Linked DNA regions of Callithrix jacchus. The protein of the gene in region 1 purifies or fractionates together with the protein of each later gene. This does not show direct contact. Links are inferred from orthologs where the notes say so. Each region holds a gene or a part of one and is shown in the gene's direction. Other genes may lie near its edges.

Region 1 (4,248 bases):
ACACTCATGCGTCTCACCTGGGGAGTTAGGATCCTGCCCACCTGGGGTTGGCACGCTGGTTGCTCACTTTGCTTTGGTCTGAACACCTGGTGTGCGCATGTGTATACTGCTTGAGCCATCTGTGTACCCCTCTCCCTGGGGTACACTTGTGGGCACACTACAGTGGGGACAGCAAGAATGCAATATATTATGGATTGCTGCATGATTCTTAAAAATGAATAAAACTGTTTACAAGGGAAGGAGAGCTAACTAACTACAAAGTGAGTTTATCTGTGAAAGTTTCTCTTTCTTCAGTATTCTAATATTTTTATTCAAGAGGATCTGGAGTTGGAGGAGTGGGAGAGGCAAGGGCTAGGAAAAGGCATGTTGGTGGGGGAGAGATGCACCATTGCCGGGACTTCTTCATGGCCTGGGCATCAGCCTTCCTGGCTCCAGCTCCTGGGCAGAGGCTGGGTAAGCAACCCAGCCCCCACCACTGCCTCTGCAGCCGCCTTAAACCGGAGAACTTCCAACCCTGCAGCTCCTCAATAATTAAAGAGCAGGAAAGCTGGTGACAGGAGGGAGGCCAGGGGAAGGGAGGAAGAAGGGCCACAGTCCCCAGAGTCCCTCTACCCTTAATCCCTGTCACTTAAAAGTTGGTGAAATTAATTGACTAAAAGGCACCGCTAGAAGAATTTGACAAGTCCATGACTTCAGAGTTTTACCCACGGGCTCTGCCTCATCCGCTGTCTCCAAAAGAGTGAGTGTGCTTCTGCAGAAGTCTCTAGAATATCAGCTTCCTGGAACCTTGAGGATAGGGGTGGGGAATGGGCTGCTTACCGGGACACACTGGATTACCCTACCGCCTGGTGTTTGCCGCCTCTGTGGATGTAAGCAGCAGGTGGCATCGGAGAGTCAGACCTGCCTGGGGCACCAGAGAGAGATACTAAGGGTCGGGGGAGAGGGAAACGCCGCAGAAATATGAGAAAGTGCCACTCGCAGCGGAGAGGAAAGAAAACCTCAAGGATACGGTTCCCGAGCCTAAGCCCGCTCCCAGCCTTAGCCCCTCAACCCGAGGCTCTGTCCCAGGAGCAGTCGATGCCTCAGAGAGACCCGGACTGGAAGGGGGTGGGGGCGGGAGTCGTGGTTCCCCAGGACGAACGGATCCGTAGCGGTTCCGGGGGCCGCGGGCCGCGCGCTTCTCCGACCCCAGCGCGGGGCCCTCTGGCGGGAAAGAACCGAGCCCGGACGCGGCGGCGGGTAGGGGGTTGGGTGGCGCGGGAGAGGGCGGCAGAAGGAGGGAGTTCGAAGAGCGTTGCCGCCAGAGAGCGTGGCAAGTGCCCGCGGTCTCCTTGGAGACTTGCTGGCCAATAGCAGTGGCGGAAGCTGTTTATGGGGGCGGAGCGTCGCCATGGCTGCAGGAGAAGCCTTTGGAGCGGCTACTTATTGCCGGTCCCAGGGCCGCGGTCGCTCAGAGAAGCGCCGTCGGGCGGGGGGGCAGCGAGAGGCGCTGGCAGGGCCCTCGAGCGGAGGGGCAGAGAGCCGCAGGGGGTGGGAGGAACTTCTTCCAGAACCTTCCTCTGGCCCGGGCTGCGCTCTGAGCCAGGTAAGGGACGAGGAGGGCTACAGGCCCTGGGGAAGGGTGGGCGACGGTACCAGTCCGCTCTCTCGTTCGTCCTTGACGGAAGTGGTGGGCCCAGGGACTGACAACGGAGGAGTTTGTGGGAAACTCGCCTCCTGCCCCTCATAACTGTTCCGTCCCCTTCCTTCCCGACGACCCCCTATCATAATATTCCTTTTCAAGGATCAGAGGACCTCCTCCGCTCCCGCCCCGTCGTACTGCCCTCCCAGACTTGTCGCCCCATTTCCATTTGTTGCGGGGAGGAAGGGGGTCCTGATTTCCTGCTCTTCGGGAGAAAAGGATAGCCTCGGATGCCCCTACCCTCTTACTTTATTTGCCTAATAAAACCTCGAAGAGGAAAGGAGGAGGGAGGCGGTTCTGGTGGGGGGGGGGGACCCCAGGGCCTTACTTCTGTTTCCCAGACCTCGGTACTAAAAGATCCTCCCCAGCTGCGGGGATGATGTTAGGGGAGGCGCCCCCTGTACGGGGCGTGGGGTGGTGCTCAGCTCCCGCCGTGGTCCTCGCAGGCACCACAAGCATATTCGGAGGAGGCGCCCCAGGGGTCGCGAGATGGAAGCGCGCGTCCGAGAGGCCGAGTAACCGAAGCTGCGGGAGTCAGCGGGCGGGAGAGCGCGGCGGGCCACCCCCGACTCAGGCCGTGGATGCTGACCGCCCCCTCGGAGAGTCCCCGCAGACATGGCGGAGAGCTGGCTGCGCCTCTCCGGAGCCGGGCCGGCGGAGGAGGCCGGGCCGGAGGGCGGCCTGGAGGAGCCCGACGCCCTGGATGACAGCCTGACCAGCCTTCAGTGGCTGCAGGAATTCTCCATTCTCAACGCCAAGGCCCCCGCCCTGCCCCCGGGGGGCACCGACCCCCACGGCTACCACCAGGTGCCAGGCTCAGCAGCACCCGGGTCCCCCCTGGCGGCCGACCCCGCCTGCCTGGGGCAGCCGCACACGCCGGGCAAGCCCACTTCGTCGTGCACATCGCGGAGCACGCCCCCGGGGCTGCAGGCCCCGCCCCCCGACGATGTGGACTACGCCACCAACCCGCATGTGAAGCCTCCCTACTCGTACGCCACGCTCATCTGCATGGCCATGCAGGCCAGCAAGGCCACCAAGATCACCCTGTCGGCCATCTACAAGTGGATCACGGACAACTTCTGCTACTTCCGCCATGCAGATCCCACCTGGCAGGTAGAGGAGGCGCGGGCGGCGGCCGCTCCCTCCCCATTCCCTCCTGGCTCCCCACGGGGCATTGGATTCACATCCCAGATCTGCAGGCCAAGTAGGCTCCGTGCGGCCAGGGCCCCAGAAGGGAGGACTGCAAAGGGGCCCAGTTCTTGCAGCTGCCCCTCCTTTGACTTCCAGAGAGGGAGAAGGGAGAGTGTCCAGAGGTAGAGGGCTTTAGGGGTGCAGAGGCTGAGATTCAAGGGGAAGGAACCTGCCATTCATCCAGCAGGCCCAGGCCAAAGACCAGGGCTAGACCGCGTGGATAGAGTCTCCTTGGGGAGAGCAGTGAACTGAAGGCACATTCTTGTCCCAAGTCCTAGAATTCCTAGCCACTGCCCTGCCCGGGAAGGTTTGTCAGGCTGGGAGTCAGAAACGGAAACTGGAACATGGCCTCCCTGCCAGGCTCTATGTCCTGCCCTTTTGCAGTTGGCTTGGGGAGTGTGGGATGGAAGGAGTGCTGTGGCATGTGAGGGCCAGCTTTGTCCCAGTGGAGGGTGGAGGGCTACCCCCTCCTAAAGGGGGACCTTCCTAAAGCTGCTGTCCCAGCCCCCTACTTCAACCTCTGCTTAGTTTTCTCCCTCCAACCCCCGCTCTCAGCCAACCTCCCTGGGGAGACAATTACCTGAGCCAGGTACCTTCCACAGGGGCTCTGCCTGCCACACGGCTGCATGTTCCAAGTCTCTGGAACCTGGCACAGAGCAGCCAAGGGGCCCCAGCCACCATGTAAACATCCCAGCCTTGCTGGGGGCACTATCACCCACCTGCCCTGCTGTCCCAGCCCAGGACCCTGGGCCCCAGCAGGCTTTGGACAAGATGAAACACATAAGAATGGACAAGGCAGGAGGATGGTGGATTTGAGGCTGGGTGGACATTGCTCCGTCTTCAGCCATCACCATCAAGGGCTAGTTGGTAACAGAGGCCCCCCAAGGATGCCCAGACTCTTCCCTGAAGCACCCAAAGTGGGCAGGCCACAGGACCACAGTCCCAAGCCATTTCAAATGCCCCCTGACCCTAGAGCAGTGTCATTTTAGCCACAGCAAAAAGCAGGGACCCTCAGCCCCACCCTACCCTAAGCCTGTTCAGCTTTGGCTTCAGGAAACCAGCCCCAGGAATGAGTGCTATGCTCCTGGCTCTTGGCTGGGTAATAATCAACTGAGCCTAGAGTAGGGGGAGGGGGCCTTGGGGGGTGAAGGCCCAGGCCAGCAGCCAGCTCAACAAATAGGGAAAGTCATCAGATCCTACACCCCTCATCCCTGCATACGCTCGCTGGCTCTCTCTCTCTCTCTCTCTCTCTCTCTCTCTCTCTCCTCTCTCTCTCTCTCTCTCTCTCTTTCTCTCTCTCTCTCTCTCTCTCTCTCTCTCTCTCCCCGCCCCCCCCCCCCCCCCCCCCCGCCACCATCCTTGGCTGCCCAGCCCCC
Region 2 (3,500 bases), on another chromosome or scaffold:
TATAACATTAACATCAACACTGTGAGGTAGATACCATTAAATATTGATCAGGATACAGAGGCACAAAGATACTTACTGATCAGTATACAGACACAAGAGGTTAAATTACTTACTCAGGGTCACACAGGAGGGAGAATTCCTGGGATTCGAAATGTGGCAGCTTAGCTTGAGATTATCCACTCTGCTATACTGCCTGCAGCCTTCCGCATCTATTTACACTTCTAGTTCCCTTAATTTTGTCTTGTAATGGTCACTAAAATTCTAGTGTAAGAATTTTAACCACTATCTAATGTAAAACCCTTACTGTATTCCCTAGGCTTACAAATGTTGACATTGTAACTTTTATTTTTAAATAGGCAATGCATTAGCAGGAATTCAAATTAGGACAAACAGTTGTCCAATTGTTCGGCATAACAAAATTCATGATGGCCAGCATGGTGGGATTTATGTGGTAAGTTAATGTATATAGTTATATAAACTCGTGCATCAAAACCAGGGGGGAGAAAGAGTTTCTCCTTAAGCTTTTAGGTAGGCCATATTCAACTTCTGTAGTGTGAATTTATGACTGCCTTTAATAGTTAGACAATAAATAGCATTCTTGTTCTCCCTGTCAGTATCTTATAGTCTGTGTTGAATTCTATAAAATTTAATCAGCAGCTGACTAAATTTAGGCATAAGAGATACAACTGTTTATTAAAGTCTTTATTACTGGCATTATGGGCTAAATGCAACAGCAATTCATTTGCAGTCTGTTATATTTGTTACACTAGAATTTTACCAGTATGACTAGGGTATGAGTCTCTGAAGTTCTGCCACTTTTTCATTTCAATTTATGTTAAAATATAATTGTCTTTCAAAATTTTTAAACCTTTGTATTAATCATCTTCGCTCATGCTATCTAAAATTTTGTGACTGATTTAAGTAAGAAAATGTAGGAAATTTCAAAAAGGTCTTTATGTTATGCAAGGTGTGACTTTTAATTTTCATTTATGGTTCTAGAGATGCACATGTCCTCAATTACCTGCTAAAAGTAAAAATTTTGTGAACATGAAACCATGTCATTTTGAATTGATTTAACCAGTAATAAGTTTACTACTAAATGAGACGTTGTCATCCTAGAGTGAATTAATTCTTTTGCTAAAGAAAATTGAATGCTACTACTACTCCTATGTGATATTAAAAGTATAAAACCACTTAACATTATAAATTTTTGGAAGCTTAAAACGAGGGTAGAGGCTACATAAAAAGAATATTGGGCCAGGCACGGTGGCTCACGCCTGTAATCCCAGCACTTTGGGAGGCCTGGACAGGAGGATCACAGGTCAGGAGTTCCAGACCAGCCTGGCCAGCATGGTGAAACCCTGTCTCTACTAAAAATATAAAATTTAGCCGGGCGTGGTGGCAGGCGCCTGTAATCCCAGCTACCCGGGAGGCTGAGGCAGAGAATTGCTTGTACCTGGGAGGTGGAGGTGGAGGTTACAGTGAGCCAAGATTGTACCACTGCACTCCAGCCTGGGCAATAGAGCGAGACTCCATCTCAAGAAAAAAAATAATGTTGCCATTACCTCATTACTCAGATGAAAAAACAAAAATGGAAAGTTTTTTCATAACTGTCTATAAAGGGAGTAACAGACTATAAATGCCTTGATTATAGAAGATATAACCAGTGTAACTTTTATTTAGCATGAAAAGGGACAAGGAGTAATAGAAGAGAATGAAGTTTATAGTAATACTCTGGCTGGAGTCTGGGTGACAACTGGCAGCACTCCAGTACTGAGAAGAAACCGGATACACAGTGGCAAGCAGGTAGGATTAGCTTGGACTCTTGGGTGGGAAATACATTGTTTTGTAAATACTTGTCACTTGAAAAAGGTTTTTTTTGTTTTTTTTTTTTTAATTTTAGGTTGGTGTTTATTTCTATGACAATGGACATGGAGTGCTAGAAGACAATGATATCTATAATCATATGTATTCAGGGGTTCAGATAAGGTAAATGTTTTTACATTTGGCTTTGTTTTGGGAGGGAGTTAGGAGTATGTGGGGTGTGTAGAACAGATTTGCTTATTGTCTAATGCCCAATCTTTATCCCTCTGTTGTATATATATTCACATTCTTAAAATAATCTTGACTTGAATTGTCAGAATGTAACTTTCCTTGGTCTAGGTAAAGAGTCACATCACTTTGAGATGTGACTTTCCACTATGAAAAGTGGAAGTCACTTCAGTTGCCAATATGTTCCTTCATACGTGGAGAGTGGAAGTCTGTATTAAAATACTTGTGCACTATGCCTGGCATATGATTGGCACTCAGTAAAATGATTCTGTTCTGTGCTATTTCCATAAAATTAATAGTTGTTTATCTCTCCCCTCCTCCCCCCGCCTTTGTTTTTTGTTTTTGAGACAGAGTCTTGCTCTGTCACCCAGGCTGGTGACAGATCACCCAAGGCATGATCTTGGCTCACTGCAATCTCCGCCTCCCAGGTTCAAGCAATTCTCCTGCCTCAACCCTCTAAGTAGCTGGGATTATAGGTGCATGCCACCACATACGGCTAATTTTTGTATTTTTAGTAGAGATGGGATTTCATCATGTTGGCCAGGCTGGTCTCGAACTCCTGACCTCATGATCTGCCCACCTCAGCCTCCCAGAGTTCTGGGGTTTACAGGCGTAAGCCACTGCGTCCAGCCTTTGATACCCCTCTTACAAGTTTTTGGAACTCTGTCAGTCCTAATGATCATATACTGGCTTACCTCTGTTTATTACAAATTGAAGGTTTGTGGTAACCCTGTGTTGAGCAGATCTCTCAGTGCCATTTTTTCAGCAGCATGTGCTCACTGCCTGTCTCTATGTCTCATTTTTATAATTATTAGAGTATTTCAGAGTTTTTCCTTATCCTTTTATCTGTTATGATGATCTCTGATCAGTGATCTTTGATGTTACTATTGTAATTGTTCTGGGACACCATTAACTGCACCCAAGATAGCAAACTTAATGTGTAAATGTCGTGTATGACTGTTCACCAAGCAGTCATTCCCATCTCTCCCCCTCTCCTCAGGCTTCCCTTTTCCCTGAGACACAATAGTATCTAAATTAGGCCAATTAGTAATCCTAAAATGACCTCTAAGTGTTGAAGTAAAAAGAAGAGTTGCATATCTCTCACTTTAAATCAAAAGGTAGAAATGATTAAGGTTAGTGAGGAAAGTATGTCAAAAGCCTAAATAGACCAAAAGCTAGGCCTCTTGTCCAGTTGGCTAAGTTGTGAATGCAAAGGAAAAGTTCCAGAAACAAATCAAAAATGCTTTTCCAGTAAACACACAAATGAAAAGAAAGCAAAGCAAATCAATCTTATTACTTAGTTTCTCAGGGTTCAAAGCAAAATTTAAAAAAATAACAAGGCCAGGCATGGTGACTCATGCCTGTAATCCCAGCACTTTGGGAGGCCGAGGTGGGTGAATCACCTGAGGTTGGGAGTTCGAGACTAGCCTGACCAACATGGAGAAACT
Region 3 (3,500 bases), on another chromosome or scaffold:
ACTCCCCGACAGCAAGTGACCACTCCCTCCCCTGAACCTTCTCTCTCCTGGCCTCAACGCCCCCCTTGATGGACAGGAACCACTGTCCTGCCCCAACTCGGGTTCCTCCTTCCTGCTGTCATGAAGGTTTGGGGGTAGGTCTTGCTTTTTGTCCCCTTTCACCCCAGTATACACATGTGCAGTGTCTCAGCAAGCTGGGCACAGATCTGCCATCTGAGAGGGCAAGGGGATGGATGAAGGAATGTAGGGGTGGTTGAATGGGTCAAGGAGACACATGGTGGGAGAGCACCCCCCACATGAGGGTGTTAGGGGCTGAGAGCTGACAGCAGAGGGTGTGGTGAGGGTTGGGGACTACTCTCATGGACCCTGTTCCTTCTCCCTGGCCCAGGAGCTTGCCGAGCTGCCAGACTACAACAAGATCTCCTTTAAGGAACAGGCACCCGTGCCCCTGGAGGAAGTGCTGCCGGACGCCTCTCCCCAGGCATTGGACTTGCTGAGTCAGTTCCTTCTCTACCCTCCTCTCCGGCGCATCGCAGCCTCCAAGGTAAGGTGAGAAGCTGGGGTCTCTGCTCCTTCAGCTCCCCTCCCCATCACCCTGGTACTCTGTACTTGGTTGCCACGTGACCCCCATCAAGTCAGCGGCTCTCAGAACGTGTGATGGGCAGGGACCAGCACCAGGCATTTGGAACCCAGGGGACAGGGACCTTGGAGCAGGTGTGCCTCTTCTGAGGCACTGGACATCCCTAGAGTTCTCCTGAGGGTGGCCTCCAAGAGGGGCATGCCCACCTCACAGGAGAGCACATGTCCGAGGGTGCTGACTTCTGGGCTGCCTCTGATCCTATAGGGGGAGCACTGGGGACTCGTTCCTTCATTCCTTTGGCAAGTATTTTCTGCACACCCTCACGTGGCAGGGGTTGTTCTGGGCCCCACACGGATGGTGAACAATCAGACCTGCCTCCATGGGGCACTCCTAGTGGTAAGGTAGCTCCAGGCCCAAAAGGTCACAAGAGATTGTGCTGTCCCAGTGTGGGAGACCCAGAAGAGAGGCGAGGCCGACTTTGGGGTCAAGCAAAGCTTTCTGGTGGAGGGCAGGTTTAAGCAGGAGATGTTTGAGGAGGTGTTTGCTGAAGAGAGAAATGGTGGGCAGTGGCCTGGAGGCGAGGACCAAGGAAGGCTGGTTATGGCTGGAAGGCCTGGGAGGACGATGAGGACCACAGGATCATGGGCTGACAGGTGTCAGGGTGTGTCTCTCAGGGGTCCCTGTCCCCTCTGCACGCAGCACCAGCAGCAGGTGTTTATATACGCTCTCTTCGTCTCGCAGCTCCTGTGGGCTCTGCATCCACAGTGCACCCCAGCCATCTGACCCTTACCTCCTGATTGCCTCCCAGAATCTGGGTCTCCCCTCATCCCATGTAATCTCTTCTCCACCTGGCAGAGAGAGTAACTTTATCCAAATAGAGCAGGACACATTCCTGCTCTGCCAGGCCCTCCTATGGCTCCATGTCAGAGGAAAAGCCAGGGTCCTCTCTGTGGCCCACAGGTGTCACATGTTTGGGTGCCATCACCTCATGACGCTGCCAGCTGTTGTGCCGTGTGCCCACTGCTTTCCAGCCCCAGGGCCTCCTCCACACACCAGGGCATCCCCTGGGGTCTGTACACTTTTGTCTCTGCCCTGGAACCTCATGTCCCACTTGCTCATGTCTCAAGTCTTGGCTAAAATGTCACCTCTCAGATGGCCTTCCCTCGTGACGCTTCATATCTGTAACCTCTCTCCAGGATTCCTCATTCCTCTCTCTTGCTGTCTCTTTCCCACTGCACTAATCATTATCTGACATACGGTGTATTTTACTTCATCTTGTTTATTACTCCCCACCCCCACCTATGTCAGAAAGACAGAGCTTTTGTCTGTTTTATTAACAGCTATGTCCCCAGCTTCTGGAATAGTGTTTCAGACATAGTAGACACTCAGAAAATACCCAGGCACTGAGTCCACTGAATGCATAGATGAAGGAACATCTGCCTGAGGCTGAGGGCAGGGAAGTGACTGGTTTCCTTCTGCTGTTCCTTACTTGCCACCCCCAGGCTCTCCTCCATCAGTACTTCTTCACAGCTCCTCTGCCTGCCCATCCATCTGAGCTACCGATTCCTCAGCGTCCAGGGGGACCTGCCCCCAAGGCCCATCCAGGCCCCCACCACGTTCATGACTTCCACGTGGACCGGCCTCTTGAGGAGTCGCTGTTGAACCCGGAGCTGATTTGGCCCTTCATCCCGGAGGGGTGAGAAGCTGGCCCTGGTCCTGTCTGCCTGTGCCTAAGGACCACCCAGTCCACTTGTTCCTCTGCCACCTGCCTGGCTCCACCCTCCAAGGCCTCCCCATGGCCACACTGGGCCCACTCCACACCACACCCTGCCCCTTGACCCTTGTGAGGGTTGGTCTTGAGGCAGAGGTTATGTTCCTAGCCAAGAGCATGACAGCATCCAGTCCAGCAGAGGAGATTCACGTCCTGTGCTTGGTGAGTCTGTGTGCTGCTGACTTACCCATCAGAACAGTGAGCTCTGCTGCCATTCAGGGCCTGCCTATGCAGAATGGCGATGTCTGCCTTGGTGATTACCCATCACAACAGTGAGCTCTGCTGCCAGCTAAGGCCTGCCTATGCAGAATGGCGATGTCTGCCTTGGTGATTACCCATGAGAACAGTGAGCTCTGCTGCCAGCTAAGGCCTGCCTATGCAGAATGGCGATGTCTGCCTTGGTGATTACCCATGAGAACAGTGAGCTCTGCTGCCAGCTAAGGCCTGCCTATGCAGAATGGCGATGTCTGCCTTGGTGATTACCCATCACAACAGTGAGCTCTGCTGCCAGCTAAGGCCTGCCTATGCAGAATGGCGATGTCTGCCTTGGTGATTACCCATCACAACAGTGAGCTCTGCTGCCAGCTAAGGCCTGCCTATGCAGAATGGCGATGCCTGCCTTGGTGATTACCCATCAGAACAGTGAGCTCTGCTGCCAGTCAAGGCCTGCCTGTGCAGAATGGCAATGCCTGCCTTCGTGCTGCTTCCCCAGGTGTTGCCTCCTGGTCAAGGAGAAGTGCAGAGAGTAAGGCGTCCTCATGTTGGAAACTCAAGTGGAAGGAAGATTTGGTTTTATTCTCAGAGACATTAAACACTAGTTCAGTATGTGAGGTTATAGATTCTAAAAACCTCTGGTGTCTCTGTCTGTTCCTCCTCTATTTCTCTCAAGGGAAATAAAGTGACATTGTCTGATGGCCCTCATTTTTGGGTGGGTCCTGGGGAAGGTGGCACCAGGCACAGCACTTTTGCCCTGAGGGCCTCTCGTGTGCTTCATATGACTGATTACTAATTTGGAAGTGAGGGAGATGGAAGTCTAGGCCCAGGGATGGCTCCAGTTGGGGATCCAGCAGGAGACCCTCCGCACTGAGGCTGGTTTACCAACATATCTACTCCCTCAGGATGAGTGTGAGCCAGAAGCAGCTGTTTATA

The links. The genes of interacting proteins can lie anywhere in the genome.
Region 2: the proteins of FOXJ1 (region 1) and FBXO11 purify together in Homo sapiens (affinity purification with mass spectrometry; 3 studies listed by BioGRID and IntAct, counting the BioPlex papers as one, with this or other methods). This does not show direct contact. The link is inferred for Callithrix jacchus from reciprocal best matches to the Homo sapiens genes FOXJ1 and FBXO11.
Region 3: the proteins of FOXJ1 (region 1) and cyclin-dependent kinase 20 purify together in Homo sapiens (affinity purification with mass spectrometry; 3 studies listed by BioGRID and IntAct, counting the BioPlex papers as one, with this or other methods). This does not show direct contact. The link is inferred for Callithrix jacchus from reciprocal best matches to the Homo sapiens genes FOXJ1 and CDK20.

Annotation. Positions count from the first base shown.
Region 1 is NC_133506.1:132,041,731-132,045,978, reverse strand, and holds the start of FOXJ1 (forkhead box protein J1), read left to right. Parts: upstream 1-1,448; 5' UTR 1,449-1,585; intron 1,586-2,009; exon of another isoform or gene 2,010-2,127; 5' UTR 2,128-2,296; coding exon 2,297-2,794; intron 2,795-4,248. UniProt on the Homo sapiens protein: Transcription factor specifically required for the formation of motile cilia. Acts by activating transcription of genes that mediate assembly of motile cilia, such as CFAP157.
Region 2 is NC_133515.1:66,903,102-66,906,601, forward strand, and holds part of FBXO11 (F-box only protein 11), read left to right. Parts: intron 1-356; coding exon 357-451; intron 452-1,683; coding exon 1,684-1,806; intron 1,807-1,903; coding exon 1,904-1,989; intron 1,990-3,500. UniProt on the Homo sapiens protein: Substrate recognition component of a SCF (SKP1-CUL1-F-box protein) E3 ubiquitin-protein ligase complex which mediates the ubiquitination and subsequent proteasomal degradation of target proteins, such as DTL/CDT2, BCL6, SNAI1 and PRDM1/BLIMP1.
Region 3 is NC_133502.1:77,540,645-77,544,144, forward strand, and holds part of cyclin-dependent kinase 20, read left to right. Parts: intron 1-76; coding exon of another isoform or gene 77-134; intron 135-388; coding exon 389-544; intron 545-1,920; coding exon of another isoform or gene 1,921-1,944; exon of another isoform or gene 1,945-2,082; coding exon 2,083-2,280; 3' UTR 2,281-3,500. UniProt on the Homo sapiens protein: Required for high-level Shh responses in the developing neural tube.